Alligator mississippiensis: one gene and its partners. The main gene of each other region encodes a partner of the protein of the gene in region 2 in a complex. Links are inferred from orthologs where the notes say so. Each region holds a gene or a part of one and is shown on either strand. Other genes may lie near its edges.

Region 1 (7,886 bases), on a different chromosome or scaffold from region 2:
ATAGGAACTGGATAAAAAAATGGCTTTTGGAAAGATGAATCATCTCGTGGTTTTTATTTCTGCCTATTGATTCTTCTAGCTTCTCCTGTCAGTTACTGCCATTTTTTTACTTTATTCATTACATACTTTTATACAAGTTTTTTTCCAGGTACTTTGGATGGAATTATAGTTGAACTATAGAAACGGTATGTGGTTAAAGATCAGCTACTTGCTTTTCTCACAGGAAATGACCAACAGCTACATAATTGGCATCTTTCACATTTTTCTCAGAGTCCAAGCTTTGTCAGTCTGCTAAATGCGGATTAATGTTTCAGAATTTCTTTCCTTTCCCTATTCTAGATTGCACAGCCAGGAACACCATATTTTTATGTTGAACTGGATACAGGGGAGAAGCTTTTTCATCGTATTAAGAAAAATTTTCCCTTGCAGTTTGGAAGGTTTGTTTTCTCCCTTCTTAATTCTTTTGTGTAAAATAACAACATATGTATTGAATATGCTCCCCATACTTTTTTTTAACCAATAACCATTGAGAAGGAAGCTGGGGATACGTAGAACCTGGAATTACCAGCTACTTTGTCTTATTTACAGTAAGTTATTAAGCTTAATCTTTGTTTTAGATCTCAATCGCTCACAAAAGTGGGGTAAGTATTATCCCTATTTACAAACATACCCAATATCATAGAGCAGTATGATGGCAAAGAGTGAATACACATCTCTTGACTCCCATATTTGTGCTTACTACCAGAAGACCTTCCGTTTAAAGAATGAGGCTTGCATTTTCTTGCCCTCTGCAAAAATTCTGTGCACCTGCTACTTGATATTCTGATCTCTGTCCCTACATTCAAATCGTTTTAAAATGTTTGAACTGGAAAAGTTCAGTGTGGAGATTAAGAATCATGTTTGTACAAAGTATTGTCTTAGTTGCATTTACTTTTTACCAGTAAATTGTCCTTTTTAGCAAAGAAGCAGGTAATGCCTCTATATAGACCTATTTCTAAATTAATAATAAGAATTGCTTCCTTTCAAATGCAATTCAGATGCGTTCCCCGTGAATTAAATGGCAGTTTTTCTATTAAATTCAACATGAGTCTTTAGATAGCCCCCACAGTACTTGATTTTGTAGTCTTATTATTTCTAGCAATGTGCTTGCACTTCAAAGATTGCAACAGTTCTGCAGCTGATTGTTTTGGTTACAGGGAAGTCCTGGCTAGTGAAGCTATCCTGAATATTCCAGATCGGGCAGACTGGAGGCAGTGCAAGTCCACCAGAGAAGAGGAGGAGGCATTGTCCAAAGCCTTTCGAGAGGACTTTGAACCTTTTGACTTTTCTTTGCTGCAGTAACTTTGCTTTTCCAGTGGGAAGCACTCAGTGGTAGGACTGTCTTGCCAAGAGCACTGCTGTCCTGTTCCTGTTCATCACCATCATTCATTTTAACACTGTACTTGTTGCTGAGTTTCGCTCTGGTCTGACTCAACTCCTGTGCAGAACTGAGGTTAAAAGTGAACAGTCCAACTGCAAGGCATAATGGGGCAAAGGATTTCCCTTCTTAGTCTATTTGACAGCAGGAGGACCAGAGCCCTGGAGCAGGCTGTACTTTTTGCTGAGATTTTTAATCAAAGGAATAAACTCTATTTCTCTCTGTGGTCTGGTTGGTTGGTTTCCTAGGCAAGCTTCAAGCAGTGCTGGATGCAGCTGAGGCCCTGGAGTGGTGTTGATGGTACACAAATAGCGTAGGACCTGTCTGTGGGGCTGGGGCAAGGCTGGTCCTGCCACAGTCAGATAAATTTTGGAGCAGTTGTCATGGGTGAGCACATGGTCCAGGAAAGGACATTATCAGGAGGGAGCTGGTGGGGGGTGGCAAGATTGCTGCCGTGGCCTAAGCAGACCTGACATCTGCAGTGACCCAGACTGCACTGCCCTGAGTGTGGAAACATATGATGCAGTTGGTGTCGCTCAGGGTGTACTGCAGCATGTCTCTCAGCAAAGAAATCGCACCACTGAAACGTATCTTGTTTCTAAAGTGGCTCACAAGGTGGCTGAGTATACTGCTGCCCTTCTGCTGCAGGGGGCCTGAGAGAACAGGCAGACTATGGCCAGCATGCACAACGCCTGGTCCTTCTGGGCTGCTCTTCTGGTTCAGGTAAGGGTGCAGTGGGATCTAATGCACAATCACCTGTCCAGCTGTGCTACATGTGCATTTGCAGGAGGTGTGACTGTGGTATGGATAAGATCCCATCATGCCTTATTGCTGGTGCAGGGGGAACCCAATCCCAGGCTCCCCCTGCATGGGCAAGAAGCAAGCTTGCAGCCAGGAGCCCCCTCAGCTGGCAGGGCTCCGAGCCATGGGGGTACACATGGCTTCCTGCAGCTAGGAGCTTTGCTCAGCTGACGGGGCTCTTAGTCACAGGGCCCCCTGGCTACACATTTAAGTAATGGCATGATAGGTGCAGCTGCAAAGTTGCTACAAATTTTGTAGAATAACTTCCTAGCTTTTTTCTTTTCTTTTTTAATCATGCCAGTAACTGAACATGTGGCCGGGTGACCACTTAAGACATGATTAATCAGCTAAGTCATGACTTAAGTGTACTGTAGATGGGGCCTCTCCACTGGTTGTTCAAAGTGGTGGGTGGTGAAATTTTAAGTGGGTGGGTGGAGAATGGTAACTGGATGGGGATGGTAAAATCATTGCAGGAGGGATTGTGCTTCAATGTCCTTCACATTTGTGCTGCTGCTCTGACTCATGCTCCCCCTCTCCCCATTCTGCCCCCCTTCAGCTCATCACAGGGCATGGTGCTGGGAGCAGCTCTGTGGTGCAGAACCCAAGGACCAAGAGACCCTGCCATTCTGCACATCCCTCAGTTCTTGTCTGTTGTCAAAAACACTTGATATGTTTGTAATGAAGTACCAGACCCCAGTAAACAGTGTAATCTGAATGCAATGGTTCATGTAGTCTTTTTCAGCTCATGCAGGGGTGGGGGATGCTGGAGGGGCATTTATAAGCCCGGTCTGTCTTGGGTGGCAAGGGGGTTGGGGGCAAATCATTGGCTGAGTGCTGCTGGGCTAGCACTGTAAGGGGGTTGGGAATGAGGCTGGAGTTGGGAAGTGTTGGCAGGGGGACCATTTCCACTCAAGGCAGCTGGATTTGGTCTGCAGCTTAACCTGCTAGCCCCCTGCATTCCCTGTGCTGGGCTGGGGGGGTTAGTTGGGTTTGTTGCCCCAGCCCCACTTTACCCTCCCAGCCTCCACTCCCCTCCCCTCACACTAGCACAGGGAGGTAGAGAGCTGGTTCTTCTGGAGTACCTGGTCTGTCTAGTGCAGTGGTTCTCAACCTTTTTAGTCTTGAAGCATCACTTAATAGACTTGAGACGCACATCAGAAAATGCCAGTTCTAAGTTTTCATTTGTTTCTGACAACGGAAAAATAGAGTGTTTGGTGTTTTTTTCTATTCCAAAGAACTCAGAAAGACCACAACGAGTCAGAATACTTTTAATGTTATGGATTCCTACTTGAAACCTCTGGAGTTATCTCATGAATCACATCTGCACACCTAACAGTGCTAACATTGCACAGCATCCTTGAAAGGATCTCAAGGCACCTCAGGGTGCCCTGGCACCCTGGTTGAGAATCACTGCTTGAGGGGGATAGGTGGCTAGGATGCTGAATATAGTAGGATGCAGGAACCTCCTGGTTGTAGTTGTCTGAGCCCATATCAACTTCCTGGGGGAGCACCAGCGGCAGTAGAAAGGGCTGGGACTTACCAGGGTGGATGTGCTGGCCTGGGAGGGCTGTGTCTGTTCGATACTGGTCATGGCCAAGTCCTCAGTGTGAACTGCTGTGGTGCCCCTCAGGTTTGCTGTGTTGCTGACAACAAAGATGTGTGATGGTGCCTCGTAGTGGCGACACGAGACTTTATTCACCCAACCGTTTGTTTTTCCTTCCGTCTTTGTGACCTGCTGCTTGGGATCTCTGCACTGAGACCAGCACCGGGTCCACCCACGGTCACATAATCGAGTTGCCATTTCCCTTGTGGTCCTCTGATGCACGCTATTATCTTGCTGGCTGGAGCTGCGTGCATGTTGAACGTCGATCTGACCCCGGACTGCGAGATCAGTTCCCTCCTCTGGGACCGAGTTGTTGCTGTGCTTGGTCTTGTCAGCCTGGAGGGGCCACAGCAGTGAGGCAGGCTGCTTGCATGGGACACGTGAGATTGGTTGCAATGGGGGGGCTCTGATATTGTCCTTGGGAGGCGAGCAAGTAAAATGTCTGGTTAATTGTCATGCAGGGCAGTATGTCGGTGGCAGGAACGATCCCTCTGTTCGAGGATCCCTCTGTTTAAGGTGGCAGGAACAATCTCTCCGTTCAGCCGTGGCTCACTGATGGGACTCGGGGATGGTTTAAGAGTCTAGTCCTTCAGCCACAGATCCAAATTTGGCACAAAAATGGTGGTAAGTTTGTGGTTGGTTTCCATTGTGCCTTAAACCAAGCCAGGGCGCAGGGGCCCTGGCAGCGTGGGGAGGGGCCAAGTCAGGGCATGATGCTGCTCCCCTGGCCCCCAGTGCTGGTTGCTGGCAGGATGTGAGGTGACCCACCACCAGGTGCTTGGGGCAGGAGGGCTCCCGGGCCTGCATCAGCTCCCACCCCAAGGCCTTTGGGTGAGGCCCCCCACCAGCTGCCTGTGCTGAACGCAGTGCATGGTGGGATAGCTGGAGGCCGCCCGGCGCCAGCCCCGCCCCCTGGGCCGCTGGGGGAGGACGCGGTTCTGTGACGTACAAGCGCAGGGCGGGGCTCGGCTCAGGGCCGGGGCGGCTCTCGCGGAGGAGATCTCGCGAGAGCCGCTGACTTCCGGCTGGCCGGAGTCGGGGTCGTGGCCGGGGTCGGGCGGCGGCTCAGGGGGGCGCCATGGAGCGGGGCGCCGTGGGCGTGGGCGCGGCGCTGCGCGGGCAGCCGAGCGGCGGCTGCGGCCCCTGGGACATGCGGGAGCGGCTGGGCACGGGCGGCTTCGGCAACGTCTGCCTCTACCAGCACCAGGTGTGGCCGGGGGCGGGGCCCGGGGCTGTTGCCATGGAGACCGCCCCTGCCCCCCCTCCTGCGCAAACACTGCCCGGGCGCGGATCCCGGGGCCCCCGCGGTCCAGTGGGTGGGTGCTGGACCCAGGGGTGCTCGTTGTGGCTGCATGCAGCTGGTTTGCTAATTAGTTTGGCTTTTGTGCCACTGTCCTGAAAAAGGCTACAGAGAAAGGGGTGAAATGAAACAGACCCCAGCGGTGACCCCCTTCCCTCCCGGTGGCCTGCCCAGTCACCCCCAGCTCTTGTGTTGCAGGAGTCCGGTGAGAAGGTGGCGATTAAATCCTGCCGTCTGGAGCTCAGTGTGAAAAACAAGGACCGGTGGTGCCATGAAATTCAGATCATGAAAAAGTAAGTCTGCCTCTGCTTCCTATTACCCTTCCCATCCAGGGGGAACTGCGTGTGGCTCGGGCACCGGTGCGTCATAAGCAGTCTTCACTTGTGAGGTGGGTGATTAGCCTGTCTGCAGTGGCCTGTTGTAGCCAGAGAAGCACTTGGAGAGCGGCCATGATAGACATGCAGGGTGCTCCACCTCAGCGGGGAGGGGATGGACCACATCACACTTATAGGCTCAGCAGTGCTACACTCGCTAGCACTGTGACCGAAAGACTTGGGGGTCATGATTGACCACAAGATGAATATGAGCCACCAGTGTGATACTGCAGTTGGCAAAGCGAACAAAACCCTGGCTTGCGTCTACTGACGCATCTCAAGCAAGAGCCAGGATGTTTCTCCTGCTGTATTCGGCCTTGGTGAGGCTGCAGCTGGAGTACTGCATCCAGTTCTGGGCTCCACAATTTAGGAAGGACATGGAGAAGCTTGAAAGAGTCCAGAGGAGAGTCATGTGCATGATCAGACGGCAAGAGAACAGGCCTTGTGAAGAGAGGCTGCAAGCCATGGGACTTCAGCGTGGAGAAGCGCAGGCTCAGGGGTGACTTGGTGGCCGCCTGTAAGTACATCAGGGGTGTGCACCAGGAACTGGGGGAACGCCTGTTCACCAGAGCGCCCCAAGGGATGACAAGGTCCAACGGTCACAAACTCCTGCAAGGCCGTTTTAGGCTGAACGTAAGGCAAAACTTCTTTACTGTCCAAGCCCCCAAGGTCTGGAACACGCTCTTCTCAGAAGTGATGCAAGCACCTACTCTGAACACTTTCGTGAAACGTTTGGATGTTTATCTTTCTGGGATCTTTTGATCCTAGCTGACTTCCTGCCCCTTGGGCAGGGGGCTGGACCTGATGATCTTACAAGGTCCCTTCCAGCCCTAACGTTTATGAAATCTATAGTGGCAGTTCCAGCAGGAAACGCAGCAGTAGGCTCTGCTTCAGCTGATCTGCACCGTAGGATTCCCAGGCTGCTGTGATTGTCTACCTCCCTTTGGGTAGGGGAGAATTAATTACAAAAATTTGGCCAGATAACACTGTTCCCTGCCTTCCTAGCAAATGCTTCTTGGTGGCCCTGAGAGCATGGTTGGGGCAGCCTGAAGTTTGATAGGAGAATTTTGGGCTGCATGCAGATGTGACCTTGGCATAAGACTATGCAGTGCTTAAAGCAGCTCCCTTGAACTGAGGGCTTGGTGGGGGAAGGATATCATCTCTGGTTTAGATAGGGTTTGCCTCAGACTCCGCTTCCAGAAATTTTCTATTTTAACTGGTTAAAGCTGCATATTTGGCCCACAGAGAAAATCATTGGGGTGCTGGAGCAGTTTTGTCACATTAGCAGCAGTTTCCAAAGAACAAGTCTGTTGCTGCTTTATAACAATCCATCTTCTTGCGGTGAACTTCCTGGAAGTAGAAATGGACTGTGGGACTTTGGAGAGACATTTGACACAAGAATCTCTTTGAGAGGGAGGGCAGGGGTGACTTGGACTAATTGAGGGAGTGGTCAGAGGATATGAGGTTCCCCTGGGTGGTGTCCCACAAGAATGCAGGATCTGGTCACAGTCCTCAGGAAAGTCAAGGGCAGACCCTGTCTTTAGAGACAGAGGACTTGTACCACCCTAGCTAAAAGAAAAGGGAGGATTTCTTGCTGGGACTTGGAAGTTCCCTAATTTTTATCTTCTGTGGATAGGCAGGCTATAGATAACTTCCTTCTGAAGGCCAGACTAGCACTAAAGGTGGAGAGAGGGATTAAAGTCCACCAAGAAGAAGGGGTAGAAGAGGAAGGAATGAAAGGAGCTAGGGATAGAAAGGAGAGACATGGTATGTGGGGGAGATGGGTAAGGAAGAGAGAGGAAACATTAAAAATGGATACAGAGTTAATAGCTTTTTGAAAGAACTAGCTGGGAAAAGGTTAAAGAAGGTAGGAAAACCTGTTTGAGGTGCTATTGAGGTGGAAAGATGGAATGCATGAGTGTGAAACCAGCTTCTCTCCTAGGTTTTTATTTCCCAGGTAGAAGTAAAGCTAAAATAAACTACTGAGAGAGTTTACTTTATGCAGTCTTTTTAATCACTTGATTGATTCTGACCTGGATGTCTGTACTTCAACTGGAAATGATCTCAGTGTGCCCAAGTTTTGTTCCTTCTTTTTAGTTTTGGAAAACAGTTGGGTGTTTCACATGCCCCTGATGTAAACATTTGCTTTCCCAATCTACAAACTTGAACAGCAGAGTGTCTGAGTGCATCACAAACATCCTTGAAGTATCCCGGGGCTGGGCCTTGGAGGAAAGAGTTATTTCCACTTGACAGGGGCAGAAATTGTGGCACATAGTTCAACTCCAGTCCCTTAACTGTTAGACCAGAGGTGGGCAATTATTTCGGGCAAAGGGCCGCTTACTGAGTTTTGGCAAGACATCCAGGGCCATATGACAGGCAGCCAGGGGCAGA
Region 2 (7,534 bases):
CGCACCCCGCTATGACATACGTGAGTAGACAGGCAGTTGCCATGTTAGTCTCAACTCAGCCTCAAGTCAGGGCAGAGATGCACCTTTAGAGACTCACCACAGTGTGTACAGACACCCCCCCCCCAAAAGAGATACTTCTCCATCTTTATATCCATCTACATCTATTTTTACATCTCTCTCTATTTACTCTTCTCCCCGTCTGTTCCTCCATCTACCTGCAGCTCTCGTTATCCACCTTCATACTCACCCGCAGTTTTCTATCTCTATTTGTCTTTACACCTGTGCTCACCTTCATCTACCTACATGCACATCCATCTATCTTTACATCTGCAAATACCTGTACCTATACCTACCTCTCTATAGCTACCTCTATATATGTCAATACCTGTATCAAAATATACTGACCTCTATTTTTTTGTCTACACTTGTATCTGTCCACATCTGCCTATACCTATCTCTGTTTTTCTTCATATCCATACCTATATCTATCTGTATATCCGTCTATACCTGTACCTACCTACCTGTAGCTATCTTGATATAGCTAGCTTTATATCTGTCTACACCTGGATCTTTCTCTATACAGCTATTTCTATATAGCTATCTTTCTATGTCTATATCTACATATCTATACCCGTTCCTATTTATCTAGATCAGTACAGGTATAGATAGATATATCTCTATCGCTACTTATCTATCTTTATATCCAGGTATACCTGTATCTAGCTATATTTATCTCTTTTTAGCTATCATTATATTTCTCTATACCTATATCTAGCTATCTACACCTACTTTTATTTCTCTCTCTTTATATCCATCCATATTTAGGTATCTTTACACTGGTCTGTACCTGCATCTCTCTATCTACACCTATATTTATCTAGCTTTATACCTGTCTATACCTGATACCCAGATTTAGGTCTAGGTCTCAGTCTCTACTTCTCCCTGTCCCAGTGAGTTTATCAGGGGCCGACTCCCTGCCGCCTACCCAACTTCAGGCTCACGCGGCGAACAACGTCTCTAACCAGCCGGGCCCCGGGTCTCCAGCCAGCTCCTGGAGATCTCCAGGGATGGATCCCCCCCCGCCTCTCTGGCCAGCCTGCTCCAATGCCAGATCCCCTCAGAGCCAGAAGGGTCCTCCTTGTCTCCTGCCTCTGTTTCCCCTGCAGCAGCTGCCAGAGCCCATCCCGTGCTATCCCCGCCTTTGTCTGCTCTTCCCCAGACTCAATCCCCGCAGATCTCTCCCCCTCCGCCCGTCCTGCGTTGCTCTGCGCTGGCCTCTCTCCAATCCACTCCCCTCCTTCTTGAAGTGCGGGGCCCAAAACTGGACCCAGGACTCTGGGTTCATCGTATCACATGAGCATGCGTGCACACGCTGACACGCAACGTCCTGCACACATGTCCCTGCATCATGCACATTATCTACAATATCGTACATACACATGCGTGCCCCTATACTGCACATACCCACACATGCCTGTTTTACATCTACCTGTGCGCAAACATGTGTGTGTGTGTACGCATGATATAGGAACATGTATGGGTAGATATGATATAGGGACCCGTATGGGGGGGGTGTGTGTGCGCACAATATAGGAACACTGGTCCTTATATCACAGACATGCATACATATCATTTTATCGTACATACCCACGTGTCCCCCTGTATCGCATGTAACCATACACACGCGGGATCCTATACTATGCATACACACATGTATACACGTCCCTATATCGTATGCACGTGTGTCTTTATATTGTACGCACCCGCACACGTTCCTATTGTGCGCGCGCACACACGTCCCTATCCTGTATACACGTCTCTATATCGTATGTACACCTGCCCCACAGCGTACATACGTCCATATCTCATATGGACACATACACACGTGTCCCTATAATGTGCACACCCAGGAGTGTACCTGCCCTGAATGCATACACACGTACAGCCCTATGTCGTAGGCATGCACACTTCCGTACACACACAGCCTGGGAGCAGCGCATGACCTCAGCCTGGGAGCAAGGCTCCGACTGCCCGGGGCCAAATCGACCCCAGGGTCCCAGCTGGGCCGGGACGCCTGGGCGGGGAGCGGGGCTTGGGGGCCCCGACGCCTGGGCTCTCCCGCGTCCCCTCCCCGTGACACACGCACACGCCCCTCTCCAGCCACCAGCACAAGAGCGGCTGGTGGCACAACGCACGTCTCCAGGCCGGAAGAGACGGTCGGGCAGAACCGAGCCCGCTCCGCTTCCCGCGCGCGCGGGGGACTCCAGGCCTCCGGCTCTAGGCTCCCTGCCCTGCTCTCAGCCCCGGCCCCCCCAGAGCTGGAGGGAGCCCCGGCCGGCTCCGGCCCTTCCTGGCAGACAATTCCTCTCCCCCCACCCCGGCCCCTTCCTGGCTCCCAAGGGCCCCGCCGCATCCGCATCACCCCAGACTCAGCCGCAACCCAGCAAGCCTGGCCCCAGGGCGGGATCTGCTGGATGGGGGGGGTCACCCCGAGAGCTCCTGGGAATCCCGTCGCCCCCCAGCCCTGCACCCACCCGGCGCAGCCCCACCCCGACCCCCGGGGGCACTCACCGTCCATCGGGGCCGCGGGCGGGTCCTGGCAGGGTGTCACGGGGCCCCGCCGCCCTAGAGGGGGCAGGGACTAAGGGGAGAGGTCCCCAGGCTGGGGGCGGCGCTTAAGCCGAGGGGGCGGGGCTGAGTGTATGGGGGTCCGAACCCCAACTGGGGGCTGGAAGGGGCGGGGCTTCGGTGAGGGCGGGGCTCAAGGAGAGGTGGGTCCTGGCCCCCCGGGGGGGGCGGGGCCGGGCCGGGTGGGGGAGGGGGTCGCTCCCGCCGTGGGATCGGGGCCCGGGTCCGACTGCGTCGTCGCCGCACGCGGAAATGCCCCACCCCATGTGACCGGGCGCTGCTGGGAAAGCCCCGCCCCTCCGAGGCCGCGCCCCCGGGCATGCAAATCTAGCTGAGTGACGTCGCGGGGACCGACCCCCGCTTCCTTCCACGCCCCCTTCCATGCAAACGAGGGCGGTGTCGCCGCGTTCCATCCCCCTCCCTCCACGCCCCCTTTTATGCAAATGACCACAGAGCCGCAGCATTCCATCCTGCCTCCCTCCACGCCTCTTTATGCAAATGAGCTTGGCGTCATCGCGTTCCATCCCCCTCCGTTCCCCGCCAGCAGAGAAAATGTGGCCTCCGCGGCGCGACCGGAAGTGACCCTGCCGCGTCCCGGAAGTAGCCTACGGGGAACCCGGAAGTGGTGCCCGGCCGCTCCCGGAAGTGGAGGCGGGTGGCTCCCGCCGCTCTCCCCCTCCCCCCACAGCGAGAGGCCCAAGATGGCGGAGGTGGTGAGTGGGGGCCGGGGGGCGCGGGGCGGGATCCCGGGGGGGGGGGCAGGACCCCGCTAACGGCCTGTCCCGCCTGCAGGGGGAGGTGTCCGAGGGCTGCCGCCTGCCAGTGTTGCGCCGCAACCAGGAGAACGAGGATGAGTGGCGTGAGTGACGGGGTGGGGCCTGGGGGGACGGGGTGGGGCTAGGGGCACGTCGGGGGACGTCCTGGGGCGAGGGGCGGGGCTTAGAGAGGAGGGGGCGGAGCTACGGGCACCTGTCCCGGGAGAGGCGGGGCCTAGAGAGGAGGGGCGGAGCCAAGGGGGACACATGGGGGGTCCAGGGGGTTGTTGGGGCAGTGACCATAGCAACAGCACCCTCCCATGCAACCTGGGGCTCCCACGGCCCCCCCCCACTCCCGCGGGGCCGGGGGCCGAGGGGTCCAGCGCTGGCAGGGACCAGGGGTCCCTCGTCCCCGTGCCGCCACGTTGGCTCCGCTGTCCCGAGCCTGGCACTGGCCTGACCTGCGTGCGAGCGGCCGGAGCCTGGCAGGGCACGGGGGCCGCGGAGCCGGGGGCCATGTTTCGTCTCCCAGCACCTCATCCTGGGCCCAGCTGCAGCAGAGCGCGCAGGATAACAGTGCAGCTCCCACACCCGCGGGCGGGTCCCTGCCAACAGCCTCTTCCAGATGGAGAGGGGCCGGGGGGGAAGAAACACGCCTGCGGTCGCTGAGTAGGAAGAGCTGGGGCTGGAGCCACGGAGCTCTGCCTCCGCGACTGGTGGTTCTCAGCCTTTTTTGTACCAGGACCCATTTGGAAACATCAGTGGCCGGTCCCGACCCACTGGCCCCCCCTGCCCCTTGTATGAGGTGGGAGAAGTGTGGGGTGGGGGGGGGCCCAAGCGGCCCCTGGCAGGCTGGAAATGTGCCAGCCTGCGAGGGAAAAACCCCGGTTTCCCACGTTTTTCCATTTTTAAAGTTTGTTCACGTACAACCCGTCATCTGTTCTTGCAACCCGCTCTTGCGTCGTGACCCACGGGTTGAGGAACGCTGGCCTGCCGACCACATCTCAGCACTGGGTTTCAGGCCACTCGTCCCCTCCCCGAGCTGGAACGAGCACCCAGGAGTCCTCGGTGCTCTTATCAGGTCCAGGGGTACTGCTGTGCCAAGTAGCCCTTAAACGTCTGATGAAGTGAACTTGGATTCAAAAAAGTTTGTGATTATACACCCACACATCATATTATCACCATCTTCATCATCATTATTATATATTATATATCATCATTATTATATATTATATACACACGCACGTGTATGTATCATTTATATAGTGTATGTGTACACGTGTATTTATATTATATATAAATATATATATATACACACACCTATATTGTATCTACTATGCATGTGTAAGTATATATTTATATGGTATACACACACAGATTTAATGTATCATATGTATAGTTATACACAAATCATTGACATATACATATATAAGCACACCCATCATATAGATTCACACGTACATTCTATATATCGTGCGTGTGTATTTAGTTAGTCAGTCCATAAAGGTGCGTATCTACCCTGCCTGCTAACAGTCTTCACCTTCCTTCAGCTGGGACTAGAACCCAGGCATCCTGGGCTTCCAGCTCTAACCCACTGGAAACCCCCACTCCACTCCCAGGAGTCCTAGCCCCTAATCCCCCATTCACCCCACATCTTTTTCTAGAACTAGAGTTGAATGCAGGTAGCCAGGCTCCCAGCTCCTAACTGCTCCATCACACCAGACTCTACATCTGTCCCAGAGCTGGGCTAGAACCCTGGTATTTTAGCTCCCAGGCCCCCTACTTTAGGCTACTGAATGCCATGCCACTCTCAGCTGGGACGAAACCCAGGAGTCCTGGCTCCAAGTACCTTCATTTATAATAAACTCAACTGCACACACATTATTTAGTATACGACTGTAGGGAAGTCAGGCTGGAAGGGGCCTCACCAGTTATCTGGTCCAGCCCCCGGCTCCGGCTGGTTTAGTCGGGGACAATCCTAATCCAGCCAAGTGCATCCAACATTCTCTTGGTGATCTCTGGAGATGGAGACTCCCCCACCTCTCTGGGCAGCCTGGTCCAATGCTCAACTCCCCTTAGAATCAGAAGGTTCTTCCTCCTCCCCTACCCCAGTTTCCACTGCTGCAGCTTGAGGAAGTTGCTGCTAGTCCCCTTCCTTGTGACCACAGAGAGAGAGCCATCTTCATCCTCTTTCTCATCATCATTTGGGGGTTTGAAGCCTGTGATCAAATCCCCCCTCAGTCTTCTCTTCTGCAGCCTTGATCCCCTGAGTATTTCCAGCCTTTCCTCATCAGTCCCGCTTCCCAGGCTGCTCCTCATCTGTGTTGCTCTGTGCTGGGTTCCTTTCAATCTGTCCACCTTCTTGAAGTGCGGGGCCCAAAACTGGACATAGGACTTCCGGTGATGCCTCCCCAAGGCTGTACAAAGTGGAAGAATCACTGGAGTTGCAAGCAACCTTCTTGTTAATACAACCCGGGAGGCTAATGGCTTTGGCTGCAGCAAAAGCTCACTACTGGCTCCTGCACAGCTTATGATGCATTCAGCTTTGTTGTCCAACTTTAGTCAGTGTGATCTGTTGGAAGAACAGAACAACGGCTCCAGAGGACCGCTGGCTTGGCCTACAGAACTGGGATAAGCCCGAGTTCCTCTGGGAGGAAGGTTGTTTCCCAGTGACGGCTAAACAGAGCATTTTTCCTGTTGCCACAATAGTCCAGGGAACACACAAGAAGCAAGAGGGGTTGGAGGATGCTTCTGACCTGACCATTTGTGTGCCCCAAAGCTGTTTCTGACCCATCTCCTGACTCTCAGTGCAGTCCAGGAAAAATGTAATTGCCAGAACAGAGAAAGCACCTGTTTCTCCCTGGTCCCATCTTGAGCAGAGAAGAAATCAGGCTGGGCCAGATGCTCAGAAGATTGCATCCAGCCCAGCCCCCTGCCCCAGGCAACACCAGCCCTGGCTGAACCATCCTGGTTTGTCCAACACCGTGATTCTCACCCGAGCAGCAGCAGGGTGCTGCAAGACCCTTTCAAGGAAGCTGCACAGTATTAGTACTGGTCTGTGCCCAACAGCTGACACAATTCACCAGAGAAACCCAGAGATCTCCAAGAGGAGCCCAGAGCATCCAGTCCCTCCTGCCCTGCTGAGTTCTTTGCAGCACAACATTTGCACTGATATTTTTCCATAAGAGGTGAGCGAAAGCAAAGACTCAGCCTTGCCTGAGGAGGAGGGTGCGGAGGGGAGCCAGGGGTCTGATGAGGTTGAGACCCACCAGTCTGAACCACCCCTTCAAAAGTTCAAGACCAGATCCTCACACAGCGTTCCCAGCATGGAGCCAGTGATCCTCAAGCACCAGCTTTGCTGGACCGGGCACTGCGCAGACACCCGATGCTCAACTACCAGAATGAGTGCTCTACTCCTGGAACAGTAATGGCTTGAGATCTCGCGGTGGCCAGAGGAAACGCTACGAGATCATGTTGAAGGCAAACCTCCAGATAGTGGGCGCCAGCACCAAGAGCTGGGAGGACCTGGCTGCTGACGGTCTCCAGTGGCATCGCAACCTCCACCGGGGGCAGCCTCTTTTGAGGGAAATTTTCTTGCCTTCTAAGCAGAGGAGAGAGAGCGGAGGAAGGAAAAGGCGGGGAATGCCAGCCTGCAGCCTGCTCTCCCGCAGAAAGGTCTGCAACATCTGCGGACAGATCTGTGGCTCAAGGACTGCACTCTTAAGCCACGTCAAGACCCATCCATGAACCATGGTAGAGCTCATCCTTGAATCGAGGGATGGCCACCAATGACAGCTTGAATTTGCCCCAGGCAAAGCCTTAGAATCGTAAAACACGAGGGCTGGAAGGGGCCTCAGGAGGTCACATCTAGTCCAGCCCCTGCTCAGAGCAGGACCAGCCCCCAAGAGCTTTGCCAATGGTCCTGCCTCTAGAGAACCAGGAAGGCACAGGTTGAACTACTGCTTAGATCCATTTGGAGCGGCACGGTTGGGTCCCTCAGTGCAGGGTCCCTGCTGGCCACCTAGCAGCTGTTGGCTCACATTCCTCACAGCCTTCCCCAAAGACGAAGCAAGGAATGTTGGAACAACTGTTCCAGGCACGTTGATGAGTCTCCCATCAGCCAGACTCCCATCTCCGACAGCCCCCGCCAC
Region 3 (7,267 bases), on a different chromosome or scaffold from region 2:
GACAGTTCTTACTATTAAAGTGGAAATCAGGAAATCACAGTCTAATGCATTTGCTCATGGAAGTGGCACGAGAACACTTCATCTACCTTAAAACTGATGAAAATCATGCTGTCTCTTTTCAGTGTTCTAGCCCCCAAAGCTGCTTTAAAGTCTCATTCAGGTACTTTAAGGGAGTTAGAGTCAATACAAATATATGGTTTCTTTGGCACAGTGATACTAAAAATTGAGTTCTCAGGCCACCCAGAGGTGAACAGGTTTTACTGAATCCAGCCTTTAGGTATCATATTTTTTCTCCACTTTGTGTAATATTATTTCTCATGGATATATGTTCACAGAGTTGTTTAAAGAGCTTTGTACAAGTCCAAAGAGTCATATAAGCAGTAGCTTCTCCACAAAGCATTCCCTGTATTATTATCCCCATGTGACAGGGAAAACCAAGGCACTTAGAAGATCTCTGAAATCCTTTTCTGAATGAGATACCACTTCACCCTTTAGCCAGTTCATCATGGAAAGTATTGTACTGGTCTGAGCTGAAAATGACACCAGGTCAGAATCACCTCTCAAACAGGAGCAGATAAGGAATAGATGAATGTCACTGAAATTGTTTCATAGATGCTAAAATAGAGAAAGTGAGACAAGAGATAATCAAAAGAGGAGAGTTATCAGGATTTAAGATTAATTCAAGCTTGGTGTCAATGACTCCCATTCCCACTGACTTTGTCTCACTTGTACCAAGCCTGAATTCTCCTTCAGCTGCTGTTTCTCAGCATCCATAATTCCTCAGTGTCTTTACTCACTTCAGTTCTCCCAAGGTTACCCCATTGCATCGCGCTGCAGTTAGACTCTCAGCCCCTGAGAGAGCAGGAGTTACCTTGGTTGTGTCCCTGCACCCACCCACTCAGCTCCATTTGAAATCCCCATCCAAGTCTCTGTCCCAAACTTTAATATTGAGTTAGTAGTCTGCCTGTGAAAATAGGCATGCAATATAGCCCACACAGCTAAAAGTACAAATATTTGTTTAAGAAAATGGTGATAAAGTTCATTTGTTTCCATTTCAATCAATTATCCTTGCACCCAGTAAAGAAAACTTATAAATAACCTACTGGAAAAATGCTTATGCTTGAAAGAGTCAATATTCTGCATCACTGCTTAAAATCTTTTCTTTAATACAATTTTGTACCATTGTAAAACTGTATTCTGTATATGTCTTTAGTTGTGATAGTTATCTCATTTTAAATATCGCTCCATCCATCCATCTGAATTAATCTATTGTCTCTCATATACTGAGATTCTAACTTCTTTGAAGAACAGATGGTCTTTTGGTCTACCTGGCACAGTGGAGTCCCAGTCTGTGTTTGACTCCCCTAGGTTTAACCAAATATGCTATTACTACTGCTGCTACTATGAATAATAACAACAAATTTCAACCTCTCTCACTATGAACAAATCTAATCACAACATTCTATGCTGTGCGAGTCCAATCAAATCCCAAAGCTTCAATCACCTTGTTTGGGCTGTATTTAGATGCAAAAATTCTGGTCAGGTTTCCTATGCTGCACCTAGCTGGAATCTTCCTTAGATGAGCACTAAAATGCAAGACTATATTGAGTCACAGCTACCATATGAAGTACTTCCTCACCCCGCTCAGTCCCAACAAACCTTTTGAAATGATACTCCACAAAGATCCAGCAGATGTCACTATATGCCCTGACTAACAATCCAGCTGTCCTCTTTAAATTGAGGATGCCTTATACTTAGCAATTATAGGTGAAAGAAATCAAGTCTTGAAGCTGCTACTTAAGCTGGAGGCACTCAGCAACACAGATGTCTTAACAACTGAGTGAATCAAGTTAACAGAGAAGCTCAGATATATTATATGTAGTTAGAGCAGAGGTTGTCTTCAGAGAGCTCAAAATATCTAACTTCACATGCTTTGATGTTTGTTATGATCATGTAATGTGCAGCTCTGCACCTTTAGTACTGGAACCTCCAAAAACTAAACTTTTGCTTGTTTAAAGAGTTGATATGATAGCCTGAAACATCTGTGAGAACTTGGCATTTGCATTTCCATAGAGCAGGAAGTAGGTTAACCCTGATGTGACTTTCCATAAAGAAATAATTTTCCATTCTTCTTCTAACACCTATGTTTGCTTCAAACTGATGAAACTTACTTAAAGATGAAGACTTGAACAAAATTAGAATGTCCAGGGATTCAGTTATCTGTACAACTTCAGTTGTGGAAGGAAGTGGAGAATGTATTTTGCTAATTCCAAAGTCATCCATTTAAACTGGAATGTGAAATGTTAAAATTTATGTTGATTCTGGCAAAACTGATTGTGGGGTTCCATATTCTTCTTGTGTATTATTCCTCCATCATAACAACAAGGGCAAGATTCACCTTTAAACAAGAATCTTTAGTCTTTGTAGAGCAATGGTTTCAATTTACTTAGAGAGATTTTCCTTAAAAAATAATTTCCTGCTTAAGGATTTAAATGAAGAAGAAAAATTGTTTCAAGAAACACATTGAAGGTTCATGCCTCTTAAATTAAGAAAGAAACTGTTGTGGAACTTTTATGAACCTGCCCAAAGAAACCACCACTGGGTTCTCCAAGGCCTAGTGACGAATATTGTTACTTTTTATAAGTGTGTGGAAAAAGTCCAGTAATGTTACTTCTGGCCTGAAAATTAAGTTGGCGTATCATATGCGCCTTCTCTACTGACCCCCCACTTCTCCTTGGATTTTCTCATAAATGTTTTCACAGGAATGCCATCCCAAGGGAAGAAGACGAGAGAAAATTCTCAGATGTTATTACTCAGTGTCGTCAGCTACAATTGCAGAAAAAAACCTCTTGGAAAACCCCCTAAATCTGAGGAAAAAATGCAAGCTTTGTCAATGATCCCAGCCAAACTAGCTTGTTGAATTCTACATGTCTGCCAGTACGGCTAGAAGTATCTTTTATCAATCTAGGAGCTTTTGGTTTTGGTTATTCCTTTACCAGTGAATGTCACTGCACACAATAGATACTTCCAGCAAAGGAGAGATGTGAACAGCATAAAGGCTAAAAGAAGTCACTGTTCCCAATTTGAACAGCATTTGTTCTTTTGAATACATATGCTCTGGGAAAGAAGTGAATTTAACCTTTGACTGATACTAGACCTACAGGAATGGAAGTGGAACTCCTCTATCTATGCCTCATCTGACTGCATTGACGCTGGCTGGAGTTTTAGTACAAACTTCAGAGGGCAAAGGTGAATCCCCCTAGAGAGAGTACCTGTACCAAGTAGGTTGCACAAGTAGAGAAGAGTTTATAGTCTGCAATTGCGCAAAGTAGATCTCTGAAAAGCTTGTCAGACTCCACAGACAATTCTGAGGTCCGGGGTAGCTAGGCTTATTATCTGTGCAATCATTGTTCCATACATCTCAGTAGTGTCATTTGTCCTAACCTAATGAAACCAAAAGCCTGTTACCGAAGTACCATGTTACCAAACTGACATGGAACAGACTGGGCAGCTCAGGACCACCTGCACAACAGGTCAGTTGCTTAGCATCACGGCTGCCTCACAGCTCAGGCCCCTGCTGCAGCCTGAGTGGCACTCAGGGGAGCTGCATGTCACAGTGAGTTTGGCCAGGTCATCCCCCTGCTTCTGAGTGAGCTTTGTGACCAGAAGGGCAGCGCAGCACTGTACCTAGATTCCTGGCAGCCCTGGGCAAACTTTTAGTATTGGGCCCCCCTGTGCTAGAGATAATGATAATAATAATCGTTACTGTGCCCTTTCTGTCTGGGCCCAGTCGCTTGATTTGCCTATGCCTGTGTCCAGCCTTGAGGACAAGACATTGCTTTGGTGCCGCCTCCTCCAGAAAAGTCAGGCCTGAGAACCCCACCGAGGACCTCCGGCTGCTGCGCTAGCTGCTCCGCTCCCACTTGCCTGTGCCGGGCACAGAGTGGGCCCCGGGACGGGGAGGGGGCCCAGCGCCACGGAGCCCCCTGCCACAGAGGGAAAGCTTGAGGGAAAGCCCAGGCGCAAAGGAGGGGACACAGGGAGAGCCGGGGCCGAGGCCGAGCCGGGACGTCCTTCCCCTGCAGCTGAACAGAAAAAACCCCCAGGCTCGGCCCCGCCAGGGGATTCCTCAGGCGAGGCGCCGCCCTGCAGCAGCAGCAAGGCCAGGCCGGGCCGAGCACAGCAGGCCTGGCGGTGACTGCGCTGGAAATTCCCGGGCAGGCCCCGCCCCGCAGAAATCCCCCCGCCTCCGCCCGCGCCTATAATGCCGCGCCGTGGCCCCGCCGCCCGCACGCAGATGTTGGCAGCGTCGGAGCCGTGAGTAGCCGTAACTCCGCCATGCACAGCCCTACGTATTGCCCCGAGCTCGGCCTCGGCCCCGGCCTCGCCATGGTGCCGCGCAAGGAGCGCGCGGCGCTGGACGACCGTCACGACAGCGGCCTGGACTCCATGAAGGAGGAGGACTACGACCAGCTAGTGCGCGACCTGCGCGACATCCGCCTGCAGCTGCCCGCCGCGCAGCCCGCGCCGGCCCCGGCCTGGCGCCACCAGCTCACAGACGACGGGGACTCGTAAGTGGGGCCAGGATTGGGGTCGGGGTCGGGGCCGGGGCCCCGCGCACGGAGGCCGGGGCGGGCGGGTGGAGCCGCTGGAAAGTCCCTGGAGCGCGGCCAGGGCGTGTGGAAAGCCCCGGCCGGCGCCGGAAAGCCCGGCCTTGCGCAACGCGCCGCCTCACCGGGACTTTCCCTCCCCCGCAGGTTCCTGCACTTGGCCGTCATCCACGAGGAGCTGGCGCTGAGCCTGGAGGCCATCCGGCAGGCGCGGGCCGAGCCCGCCTTCCTCGACCTGCAGAACCACCTCAGCCAGGTACCTGCCCCTCCTCCCTGGGCCCGGCGGGTCGGGCGGCTGGGCTGGTTCGGGCTGGGCCCTGCTCTGCGTTTGGCACCTGGCTGATCCCACTCTTGTCCTGTTTGGCCCCCAGACGCCGCTGCACCTGGCCGTGATCACGGATCAGCCTGAGATCGCCGAGGCCCTTCTCAAGGCCGGATGCGACCCTGAGATCAGGGACTTCCGTGGAAACATGCCGCTGCACATCGCCTGTGAGCAGGGCTCCCTGAGGAGCGTGGGGGTACTCACACAGTACTGCCAGGCGCACCATCTGCACGCCATCCTGCAGGCTGCCAACTACAATGGTACGCTGCTCGCAGCTTACGCCAGTTCGAATAGACAGCCCTTAGAGAGGGCATTGGCTTTTTGCAACCAAAGGAGTTTTAGAAACGTGCCAGCCTCGTCATTCCCATTTCACAGATGTGGAAACTGAGGCAGGAATGGAACTTCCTTAAAGTCTCTCTTCAGTGGAGCTGGGGATAAGTCACAGTTCTGCCTGCCAGTCTTTGCTCTGTCCACTGACTCTTGGCACTTGAACTTCCAGCATCTAGTGCTGTGGGGATTTTCTTTTTGGTTTTTTGGCTTATATTATTTTAATTTTGACATTTTGGATGTTTTCTTGTTTGGTTAAACAAGCTACTGTGGAAAATCAAGATGACTTTTTTCAGTTTTTTGGGTTCTTTGTTGGGTTTTTTTTTTTGTTTTTTTTTTGTTTTGTTTTTTTTTAAGTAAAGCATCTAAGAAATAAGGTTCTTCAAAAAATTGATGTGAGCCTCCTATTCTATGAGCACTCTGGTTCACATAAAAATTTCGCCTTTGATTTGGAGCAGTGGATTCAAATACCAAAATATTATATAGGGTAGAAAGGAATTTAGATCTGAGTGAGTGATAATGTGTAATGGGGGAAGTAATTAATGTTTAAATGTGTTTGCCTTTCAGGACATACATGTCTCCATTTGGCATCTATTCAAGGGTATCTGGCTATTGTGGAATGTTTGCTGTCCTTAGGAGCAGATGTCAATGCTCAGGTGGGTATTTGAAGCTCTTGGTTTAACTGGATGTGATAGCACAGCCATAAGAACACACAGTTCTGTATTGTCACACTTAACTCCTGAGACTAAATATCCTATTTTATTTTTCTGAACAGGAACCTTGTAATGGCAGAACTGCCCTACACTTAGCTGTAGACCTGCAGAATTCAGAGCTGGTGTCACTTCTGGTGAAACACGGGGCAGATGTGAATAAAGTGACCTACCAAGGCTATTCTCCGTACCAGCTCACATGGGGAAGAGACAGCTCCATCATACAAGAACAGCTGAAGCAGTTAACCATAGCAGACCTACAAATGCTGCCAGAAAGTGAGGATGAGGAAAGCAGCGAATCAGAATCAGAATTTACAGAGGATGAAGTAAGTATTTATTTTCACCTTTTATTGCAGAAAGGACCTTCTATGCAAGTTGCCTCCATTAAAGTTGTTGGAAATATGCACACCTGATGCCCTTAAGTTTTAGGGTTGGGAGGTGATATTTTGGTGGGATACAAAATTTGGTCTGTTACCACACTGGATATAAATCATATACAATCAAGGCAGACTAAGAGGTTACAATAGCCAGCATTAGAAATCCAGTAGTAAGGGCTTGAGTACTAGACACCCAGTCCTATTGCAATAATTTTTCTTAAATGTAGATGTCATTTCTGGATCACTGTTTATGGGCCTTAATGAAGCAAAATTCACAGTGATTCCAAAGTGCTGTGAAATGTTGCACTTTTATTTCTTTATGATCAGGATCTTGTTAAGGGAAAGAAGAGTGATAAAACTAATGTTACAGTACAATACAGCCTTAAGAAATTATATGGTTGTTATTGAATGTTGGTGTTCAAGTCATCTCAGATTAAAGATTACATTCTGCTTACCTTAGTTGTGTGAGCAGTGATACTGAGGTTGAGACTAGCAGAGCTTGACCTGATTTTGCTTTGGGTAGATCTGAGTGTTTCCTATAAAAGTATTGCATTGACTTATACTCTTCCTTTTCCCTTCTAGCTGATGTATGATGATTGCGTTATTGGAGGACGACAGTTGGCATTATAAAATGGAGTATTCTCAGAAAGGACATGAGTCTGTACATATGTATAACAGAGACTTACTTTCTTTTAAAAAAATGGAGAAATGTGAAAAAAAAATACTGAAATACACTGTACAGCACAGAGCACATGACTATAACAGCAAGATTCATGTTCTGAGCTGCATTGTAATTATGGGAGAAACGTAGAAGATCAGTAGAAATCTGTGACGAATTACACCACTTCTCAGTTAACTGGTTGTCCTAATATATGATCAGTATGAAGACAGACTGCAGTTTACCTGAACATGCATTTGATA
Region 4 (7,385 bases), about 3.1 Mb from region 2:
CTGGTCACATTTGGGGACCAGGGAGGAAAAGATCTTCTCTGACAGGAGACAAAGGAAATAAGACCAGTGAGGTCCAGGAAATGGCTAACGAGAAGATCGCTAACAAGGAGCCAGGAAAACCTCAAGGCTTTCAGCTCCTCTGGGCTCCACAACGCGACCTGCTCTGGGGGCCGATCAGCTGTTTCTTCCTCTACAGGAGCTCTGAAACCCCCAGGCTGGACAGAGATCCCCACCTCCCCTCCGTCGACAGGCCCCATCAGGGGGCAAAGGCAGCTGCTGGACCCGGCGAGCCCCCGGACCCCCGCGGCCGCGGTACCTTTCATCCAGTCCAGGTTGTATTGCTTGCGGCAGGCGGTGCCAAGGCAGTGGGAGGTGAAGAAGGTGCCATGCGCTTCCACCAGGTCCTCGGCCGCCAGCCCGGCCACGCGCTCCAGCGTGTCGATGTTCTGTGGGGCACAGAAAGGGCAGTCCCAGCCATGAGCCCTGTGCCCAGGCCAGCTTACAGGGCTGGGGGAGTGGGAATGACTGGGCACAGCTGGGGTGAAACTGCCCACCCCTGCCACTGATCATGCCCCCCACCCCAGGGGTTTTCGCTCACCTGGGTGTAGCACCGCAGCAGCAGCCCCTTCTCCTTCAGCAGGCGCATGAAGTAGTGGCACACGGTGGGCTGGGGAAGAGCGGGGACAGTCACTTCCGTGTCCCCCCCCCATAGGGGAGAAAGGGCAATTTAACCATGCACCCACTCCCTTAAGTCCAGCCCTTGTACCCCAGGAGGCTCTGGGCACCGGCTGGGAGGGGTGAGGACCACCTGCCCACCCAGTGCTGCCCAGCAAGGAGGCACATATTCGACCCAGGCCCATTGGGGGGTGGGGGGAATGGGTGAGACGCAGCTGATAGCACTGGCAGGGTCTTCCCTGCTGCTGCGGGTGGGGGCTGGTGCGGGCAGGCTGGCACTGCAAGGTCACGGCTCTAACGCAAGCAAGCTCCGGCATCAGAACGATCCCAGAGGAGTCGGGGCTGCTGGCCAGCCCAGGGCAGGGTGACAGGCTGGAGACCCCCCAGCCCCATGGGGCAGCTGAGCTTGCAGGGGGCAGACGCCAGGCTGTGTGGGGGTTGGGCCCGATGGGACCTGGGCGGTTTTCCAAAATGGGGCACAACTCGCCACACTGAACCCAGGGGTCCGGGGCCCAGGTCCTCCGCTTTGCAGAAGCAGGGGCACAACCCAGGCGTCCTGGCTCTGCTCTCACCCCCAGCCCCTTCCCTGCGCAGGGAACCCAGGCATCCTGGCTCCCAGGCGCCTCGGGGCTGGGGCAGGGTGGGTTTACCTTGAACTGCCCCGGGTACAGCTCCTTAGCCAGGGCGAAGAACGGCTCGGGGTTTTTCTGCGTGGAAAAAAGCAAACGGCCAAGTCTCTGGGGGCGCGTAGCTTTAAACAGCTTCCCCCACATCACTACTACCCCCGTGGGGGGAGAGCGGGCTACACTCTGAGCCCTGATTAGGGGGAAAGCCCCCCCCCCCCCAATCAGAGCCACCTCGAGATTGCCCAGCTTCATTATCGGTCCCCCAGCCCTGCGGGTGACCGATCCTGACCTGGGAGAAAGGGGGCCGGGGGGTGTCTGTTGTGGGTACGGCCTCGGGGGCATACCCCAGATGTGCGCGGGGAGGGGAGGGGAGCGGAGGCAGGGGAGCACAGTGCCTGGCCGAAGGGGCGCAGGGAAGAGGGTCCCGGGCCCATACCTTGAAGAAGCGGATGTCGAAGATGGCTTCGGGGTACGGCAGGTTGTAGCTCGCCAAGTTGGCGTAGAGCCCCGTGCCCGGCGACCGGAAATCCGGGATCCCCGCAGCTGGGAGACACCGGGGGGAGGCAGCTCAGGGGCCTGCGCCTTGGCTGGAGGTGGGGGTCGAGATGCAGGGGGGGGGGAAGAAGTGGGCTGGGGTCCCATAAGGATCTTCTCTTTGGCCCCACCGGTGTTACCCGCAGCTGCCGCGCTCCACCCCAGACTCAGCCGCGTTTGCCTGCCTCACGTTTCCTCATGTGTAACGTGCCCCGGAACAAAGTGCCCGCCCGGCTTTTTCCGGCAGAAGCAGCTCTTACCGTGCTACCGTATTTCCCACGCGTCACATTCGTGCCCGTTTCCAGCAGCTGGTTTGGGGTGGGGGGCGGGGGGGGAAGCATGCGTCGTAGGCGAGAAGATCCGGTCGCTGCCCGCCCAACGGGGGTACGCTCCAAAGGGGGGCAGCGGGGGGGAGTGAAGGGAGTGAGCCCCGTACGCACAGCTGCTGCGCTGCACCCCAGAAGCGGCTGCAGCGAGTGGCAGCGAGCGTGGGGGGGCTTGACCCCTGACCCCAGGAGCGCGGGGGGTTAGTCCAGCCGGGGTACTTACAGGTGGAGATCCCGGCTCCCACCATGCACACGACGTTCTTGCCTGCGAGATAAACGGGGGTGGGGCGGGGGGGTGACTTCCGCCCCGGGTACAAGCGCCATCCCCCCCCTCGCCCGCAGCAGGGTCCTCCGTGCTGCCTTGGGGTCGAGGGTAAGCGCCCCCCCCGGGGGCCCAACACCCGGAGGGGGAGGGGAGGGTCCCAGGCGTTCAGCGTCCGCCTGCCCGGGTCCCGTCCCAGCCCGGCGGGGGCTTACACTGGTCGCTCAGCATGAACCGGCTCACGCCCTCCAGCGTCAGCTCCTCCAGCACCTTCTCCGGCCCCTCGCCGCCCAGGCCCAGCGTGCGCGACAGCAGGGTCCGCAGGAACTCCACTGCGGAGGGGAAGGGCAGCCGTCACCGCCGCGCACGGACCCATTTCACAGACCGCACTGCCGGTCGGGGCTTGCTGGGGGGGGTCATGCAGGAGCCACGAAATTCCTCCCAGCCGCCCCCCCCCCACCCCGGGGTGCGAGCACTCACTCTCGGACTCTCCGGAGGCGCCGGCGCCGCTGTCCGAGTCGGAGTCCGAGTCCTGAAGAGACGAGCGGAGTGGAGCGGAGCGCGCCGTTACCGCGGGTTTAGAGCGCAGCCCCCCGCCCCCCGCCCCGCTGAGACAAAGGCGACGTCGCAGGTCGCCGAACCAGCGGCGAGGGGCGAGGGGCAGCGGGCTCGGGCTGCAGCCGGGCAAGCTGGGGCTGGAGGGGTCAGCTGGGCCCCGCCGGACTCACCGGGGAGTCGGAGCCCGGGCCTGGCCCCGCGTCTGCGGCCCCCGGAGCTGCGGGCAGAGGGGGGGGGTCAGTCACGGAGGGGGGGACCCCAGGGAGGGGGCAGGGGGACCCGGGGGCGGGGCCTCACCCTCCTGCTCGGCCATGGGCCCCGCTCCTGGGCCCCGCACTTCCGGGGCCCGCGTTATGTCACCGGAAGCGGAGCCATCCACGGGGGATGACGGGAGGAGACACAGCCAGAGCTCCCATCATGCCCCGCGGTGAGAGCCGTACTCCAGCCAGGATCCAGACTCCACTTCCCATCATGCCCCACGCTCCATTCCCCCCTCCCCCCTCACGCCCCGCGTCCACCACCATGCCCCGCGCCAGGATCCAGACTCCACTTCCCATCATGCCCCACGCTCCAGTCCCCTCTCCCCCCTCACGCCCTGGGCGGAGAGCCCCGCACTCCATCCCCCATCATGCCCCGCGCCAGGATCCAGACTCCACTTCCCACCATGCCCCACGCTCCAGTCCCCTCTCCCCCCTCACACCCTGGGCGGAGAGCCCCGCACTCCATCCCCCATCATGCCCCGCGCCAGGATCCAGACTCCACTTCCCATCATGCCCCACGCTCCAGTTCCCTCTGCCCCCTCACGCCCTGAGCGGAGAGCCCCGCACTCCATCCCCCATCATGCCCCGCGCCAGGATCCAGACTCCACTTCCCACCATGCCCCACGCTCCAGTCCCCTCTCCCCCCTCACGCCCTGGGCGGAGAGCCCCGCACTCCATCCCCCATCATGCCCCGCGCCAGGATCCAGACTCCACTTCCCATCATGCCCCACGCTCCAGTTCCCTCTCCCCCCTCACGCCCTGGGCGGAGAGCCCCGCACTCCATCCCCCATCATGCCCCGCGCCAGGATCCAGACTCCACTTCCCACCATGCCCCACGCTCCAGTCCCCTCTCCCCCCTCACGCCCTGGGCGGAGAGCCCCGCACTCCATCCCCCATCATGCCCCGCGCCAGGATCCAGACTCCACTTCCCATCATGCCCCACGCTCCATTCCTCCCTCCACCCCCCATCATGCCCCGCGCCAGGAGCCAGACTCCACTTCCCATGATGCCTCTCGCTCCATCCCCCCATCACGCCCTACGCTAGGACCTAGACTCCATCTCCCATCCTGCCCCGCGCCAGGACCCGTCCTCCCGGCCTGCCCCGCGCGCCGCCCACCCCGCAACAAGCCGGGCGCGCATTGGTGGGCGGCGGGGATTCCCCGGGAGCTGCCCCGCCCCCCTCTCCCGTCGGTGCAGCGGGCCCGGGGCTGCGGCGCCCCTGCCGCCATGTCGGGCCAGGCCGAGGCCGAGGCGGAGCGGGGCGTGGAGGCCGAGAGCGAGACGAAGGCGGGCCCGGAGGAGTGGTGCGACAGCGGGCTGGGCTCGCTAGGCGAGGGGCCGCTGTCGCTCCCGGGCGCGCCGGGCCCCGAGGGCGGCGGGGAGCGGGAGCGGGATCGGGATCGGCTGGACTCGGCGCTGGGGGACGAGGAGGAGGAGGAGGAGAAGGAGGCGGCGGCCGTGGGGGCGCTGGCGCAGGGCGTGGGGTCGGTGCGGCTCCGCGACCCGCCGCCCGTGGCCCCCGAGGCCTGGCTGCGCCACGTGCTGGGCTTCCTCACGGAGGACGGCGACACGTAGGTGTGGGGGCGGGGCGGGGCGGGGGGCGGGGGGCTGCCTCCCCTCCCCCACCCCACCCCGCCCCGCCCACCTGCGCCTCCCCGCAGCGCCCTGCACCTGGCCGTCATCCACGAGCACGAGCCCTTCCTCGACTCCATCCTGCACTTCGCGCGCGGCACCGCCTACCTCGACCTGCAGAACGACCTGGGCCAGGTGAGGCCCCGCCCCCGGCCCCGCCCCCGGCCCCGCCCCCCACCTCACCTCACCTCACCTCACCTCACCCCACCCCCGCGTCTCCCCCAGACCGCGCTGCACATCGCCGCCATCCTGGGCGCCGCCGGCTTCGTGCGCAAGCTGACGGGGGCGGGCGCGGGGCTGGGCCTGCGGGAGAAGGGCGGCCGCACCGCCCTGCACCTGGCCTGCCGCGAGGGCCGGCGCGACTGCGCCCGACACCTCCTCGCCCCGCCCGGCGCCCGCCTCTACCTGGACTGCGCCAACTACGACGGTACGCGCGCACGCCGCGGGGGGCACACCCCCTCCCCGACCCACCCACCCACCCCCCTGCCCCCGGGGAGCTGTCGTGGGGGGGGGCGGCCGAGGCCGGCGTCCATCCCGCGCCTCGCTCCGCACGCAGGTTTCACGCCCCTGCACGTGGCCGTGCTGCAGAAGGACGTGGAGATGGTGAAGCTGCTTCTGGGCGCCGGCGCCGACCTCGATAAGGCGGTGAGTGCCGGCAGGGGGGCGGCACTGCTGTAGGCAGATCGCAGCCGACGTAACGCGAGGAGAAAAGCGGCTTTACTCCCAGAGGGGGGCTGGGTTAAGTCCACCTCGCTTGTTGGTAGAAAGCTTAGAAAAATCCGGTCACAAGAAGGCATCTCGTTAGTCCCGCGAGGCATCGCTGCGCTAGATCGCGCCCGAGCCGTGACTTGGGAGCCCCTCCGGGGATGGGGAGTCTGCGGCGTCCGGGAGGGGGACCCGGCAGGGCAGGACGGGATGGTTGGAACAGTCAATGTCGAGATCGTTAGCGAGGAGAGAGGGTCGTTAACGCCTGCGGAGCAAAGGGATTAGCAGGAACGAGGGAGCGGTGAAGTCAGTCGAGTCCAGGCTGCCTGGGTAGAAACGCGGCTGCCCCTGCCACGCAGTTGGGTTTACAGATTGGGTAGATGGGTCGACGGGGGGTGCCCCCCCACCACCTCCAGATCTGCCCCTGGGCGTTACCACCCCCTCCCCCCCTCCCTGGCCTGTGCCGGCAGGAGCCGAGCTGTGGGCGCAGCCCCCTGCACCTGGCGGTGGAAGCGCAGTGCCCCGAGGTGGTGGAGTGCCTCCTGCGCGCCGGCGCGGACCCCGGCGCCCGCATGTACGTGGGCTACACGCCCCTGTACAGCGCCCTGCACCGGCCCGACCGCAGGATCCCGCAGCTGCTGCGGGACTTCGGCTCCCAGGAGCCCGACTGGGACTCGGAGCCGGAGAGTCCCGACGACGCCAGCGACGTGAGTGGGGCGGCTGTGGGGACCCTCCTGCCCCCGGGGGGGCTGGGTGGGAAGCTCCTAGTGGTTAGATCCCCCCCCCCCCCAGCCGTTAATGAGACGAGTTGGGGAGGTCTCAGTCGTTTGCTCCGCCCTAATTCCTTCCGTCTCTCCCCTTTCCCTCCAGGATGAATATGACGACATCATCATCAACAGTGGATATTATAAGAACTGATGGGGGGTGGTCTCCCCTGCCCCCCTCTCCTCTCCTCTGCGGGTGGATTTGGGACAGCCTCGTTGCCCGGCCCGGCCTCTGCTATTGCCAGTGGCCCCCCGGACCCCCAACGCGTCCCCTGCCCGCTCTGGGGCCCCTTCATCTCCTGCCGGCCTGAGACCAGTTTGTTGTGCCGCGGGCAGGGCAGGCTTGGCCCCTACCTCGCCAGCACCTGCCTGCCCTAGTGTAGAGGAGCCCCTGCCGCGGCGGCTACCAGCTCTAGATCTCGGCTGCCAAAGACCTGAGGTCTGTAGAGCGGTGCCGATTGCCGCCCCCCCGCTTTAGGATCCCAGACTCTTGGGCTCTCGTGCCCGTGACCTTTGGGCTCTAGTAACCCCATCTCCTTCCAGCGGTGGCACAAGTCGGGGATCCCTCCCCGAACTGCCCCTTCCACCTCTCAGCCCCGAGCTGTGCAGACATGGGGGCAGGGAAATGCTGCTCTCAGACCAGAGAGACCATTCCCAATACTGGGCTGGACTGGTCCCCTATCCCAGTGTGGACACAGTGGTGCCCAGGGGGAGGACCGGGTTCTGTCTCTGCTCCGTCAGCTGTGGGAGGTTTTGCCCACCCGCCCCTTGCAACTCCTCCAGCCCTGGAGGCGGGGAGCTGCCGATCCCTGCCTCGGCCCTGCCCCAGGGAAAGGGGCGTGTGTGTCTCCTCTCCGTGTGCGTCCAGCTTCTCTGTGTGTGGTGTGGCCCCCCCGTGTCGTTCCTACCACTCCAGCGTGCGTCTGCGTGGTCCGTGTCTGCGTGCCTGTCCTGTTCTTGTCTGGATCTTGCCCTGTGCTGTGTATGTTAACGAGGGTGGGTGGCTGGGTGGGGGGGGGCACGTGATTAAAACTCTTGCCCCA

Evidence for each region.
Region 1: RELA (region 2) and CHUK share a complex: the UniProt entries of both Homo sapiens proteins name them as parts of the 70-90 kDa complex. The link is inferred for Alligator mississippiensis from reciprocal best matches to the Homo sapiens genes RELA and CHUK.
Region 3: the proteins of RELA (region 2) and NFKBIA are in contact, whole or in part, in a crystal structure (PDB 1NFI), measured with the Homo sapiens proteins. The link is inferred for Alligator mississippiensis from reciprocal best matches to the Homo sapiens genes RELA and NFKBIA. Residues at the interface, in NP_068810.3 of Homo sapiens: Arg50, His181, Lys221, Ser238, Phe239, Ser240, Gln241, Ala242, Asp243, Arg246, Arg253, Asp294, Arg295, Ile298, Lys301, Arg302, Arg304, Thr305, Tyr306, Thr308, Phe309, Ile312; in NP_065390.1 of Homo sapiens: Thr71, Glu72, Asp73, Asp75, Phe77, Leu80, Ala81, Ile83, His84, Glu85, Glu86, Leu89, Leu110, Gln112, Leu117, Ile120, Thr121, Asn122, Phe142, Arg143, Leu150, Gln154, Arg218, Asp226, Leu227, Gln249, Tyr251, Gln255, Leu256, Trp258.
Region 4: the proteins of RELA (region 2) and NFKBIB are in contact, whole or in part, in a crystal structure (PDB 1K3Z), measured with the Mus musculus proteins. The link is inferred for Alligator mississippiensis from reciprocal best matches to the Homo sapiens genes RELA and NFKBIB. Residues at the interface, in NP_033071.1 of Mus musculus: Lys218, Lys221, Ser240, Gln241, Ala242, Asp243, Val244, Arg246, Gln247, Asp294, Arg295, Arg297, Ile298, Lys301, Arg302, Arg304, Thr305, Tyr306, Thr308, Phe309, Ile312, Met313, Ser316, Pro317, Phe318, Gly320; in NP_001293151.1 of Mus musculus: Tyr53, Thr55, Glu56, Asp57, Asp59, Ala61, Leu64, Ala65, Ile67, His68, Gln69, His70, Pro72, Phe73, Phe76, Asn91, Leu93, Gln95, Leu100, Ile103, Leu104, Gly105, Arg125, Val137, Arg275, Leu283, Arg284, Asp306, Lys307, Leu308.

The regions. Positions count from the first base shown.
Region 1 is NC_081829.1:10,062,054-10,069,939, reverse strand, and holds the start of CHUK (inhibitor of nuclear factor kappa-B kinase subunit alpha), read left to right. Parts: upstream 1-4,882; 5' UTR 4,883-4,899; coding exon 4,900-5,028; intron 5,029-5,319; coding exon 5,320-5,414; intron 5,415-7,886. Other genes in the region: CWF19L1 (CWF19-like protein 1), read left to right, coding at 340-437, 1,197-1,341.
Region 2 is NC_081838.1:4,258,218-4,265,751, reverse strand, and holds the start of RELA (transcription factor p65), read right to left. Parts: upstream 3,007-7,534; 5' UTR 2,579-3,006; coding exon 2,572-2,578; intron 1-2,571. Other genes in the region: histone acetyltransferase KAT5, read left to right, coding at 3,330-3,341, 3,421-3,487. UniProt on the Homo sapiens protein: NF-kappa-B is a pleiotropic transcription factor present in almost all cell types and is the endpoint of a series of signal transduction events that are initiated by a vast array of stimuli related to many biological processes such as inflammation, immunity, differentiation, cell growth, tumorigenesis and apoptosis.
Region 3 is NC_081825.1:256,790,719-256,797,985, reverse strand, and holds the start of NFKBIA (NF-kappa-B inhibitor alpha), read left to right. Parts: upstream 1-4,257; 5' UTR 4,258-4,338; coding exon 4,339-4,571; intron 4,572-4,757; coding exon 4,758-4,866; intron 4,867-4,981; coding exon 4,982-5,192; intron 5,193-5,826; coding exon 5,827-5,915; intron 5,916-6,034; coding exon 6,035-6,295; intron 6,296-6,928; coding exon 6,929-6,976; 3' UTR 6,977-7,267. UniProt on the Homo sapiens protein: Inhibits the activity of dimeric NF-kappa-B/REL complexes by trapping REL (RELA/p65 and NFKB1/p50) dimers in the cytoplasm by masking their nuclear localization signals.
Region 4 is NC_081838.1:1,160,080-1,167,464, forward strand, and holds the start of NFKBIB (NF-kappa-B inhibitor beta), read left to right. Parts: upstream 1-4,378; 5' UTR 4,379-4,468; coding exon 4,469-4,812; intron 4,813-4,902; coding exon 4,903-5,008; intron 5,009-5,098; coding exon 5,099-5,300; intron 5,301-5,429; coding exon 5,430-5,518; intron 5,519-6,048; coding exon 6,049-6,285; intron 6,286-6,448; coding exon 6,449-6,496; 3' UTR 6,497-7,385. Other genes in the region: SIRT2 (NAD-dependent protein deacetylase sirtuin-2), read right to left, coding at 1-38, 317-446, 599-667, 1,326-1,382, 1,738-1,844, 2,385-2,426, 2,639-2,755, 2,904-2,955 and 2 more. UniProt on the Homo sapiens protein: Inhibits NF-kappa-B by complexing with and trapping it in the cytoplasm.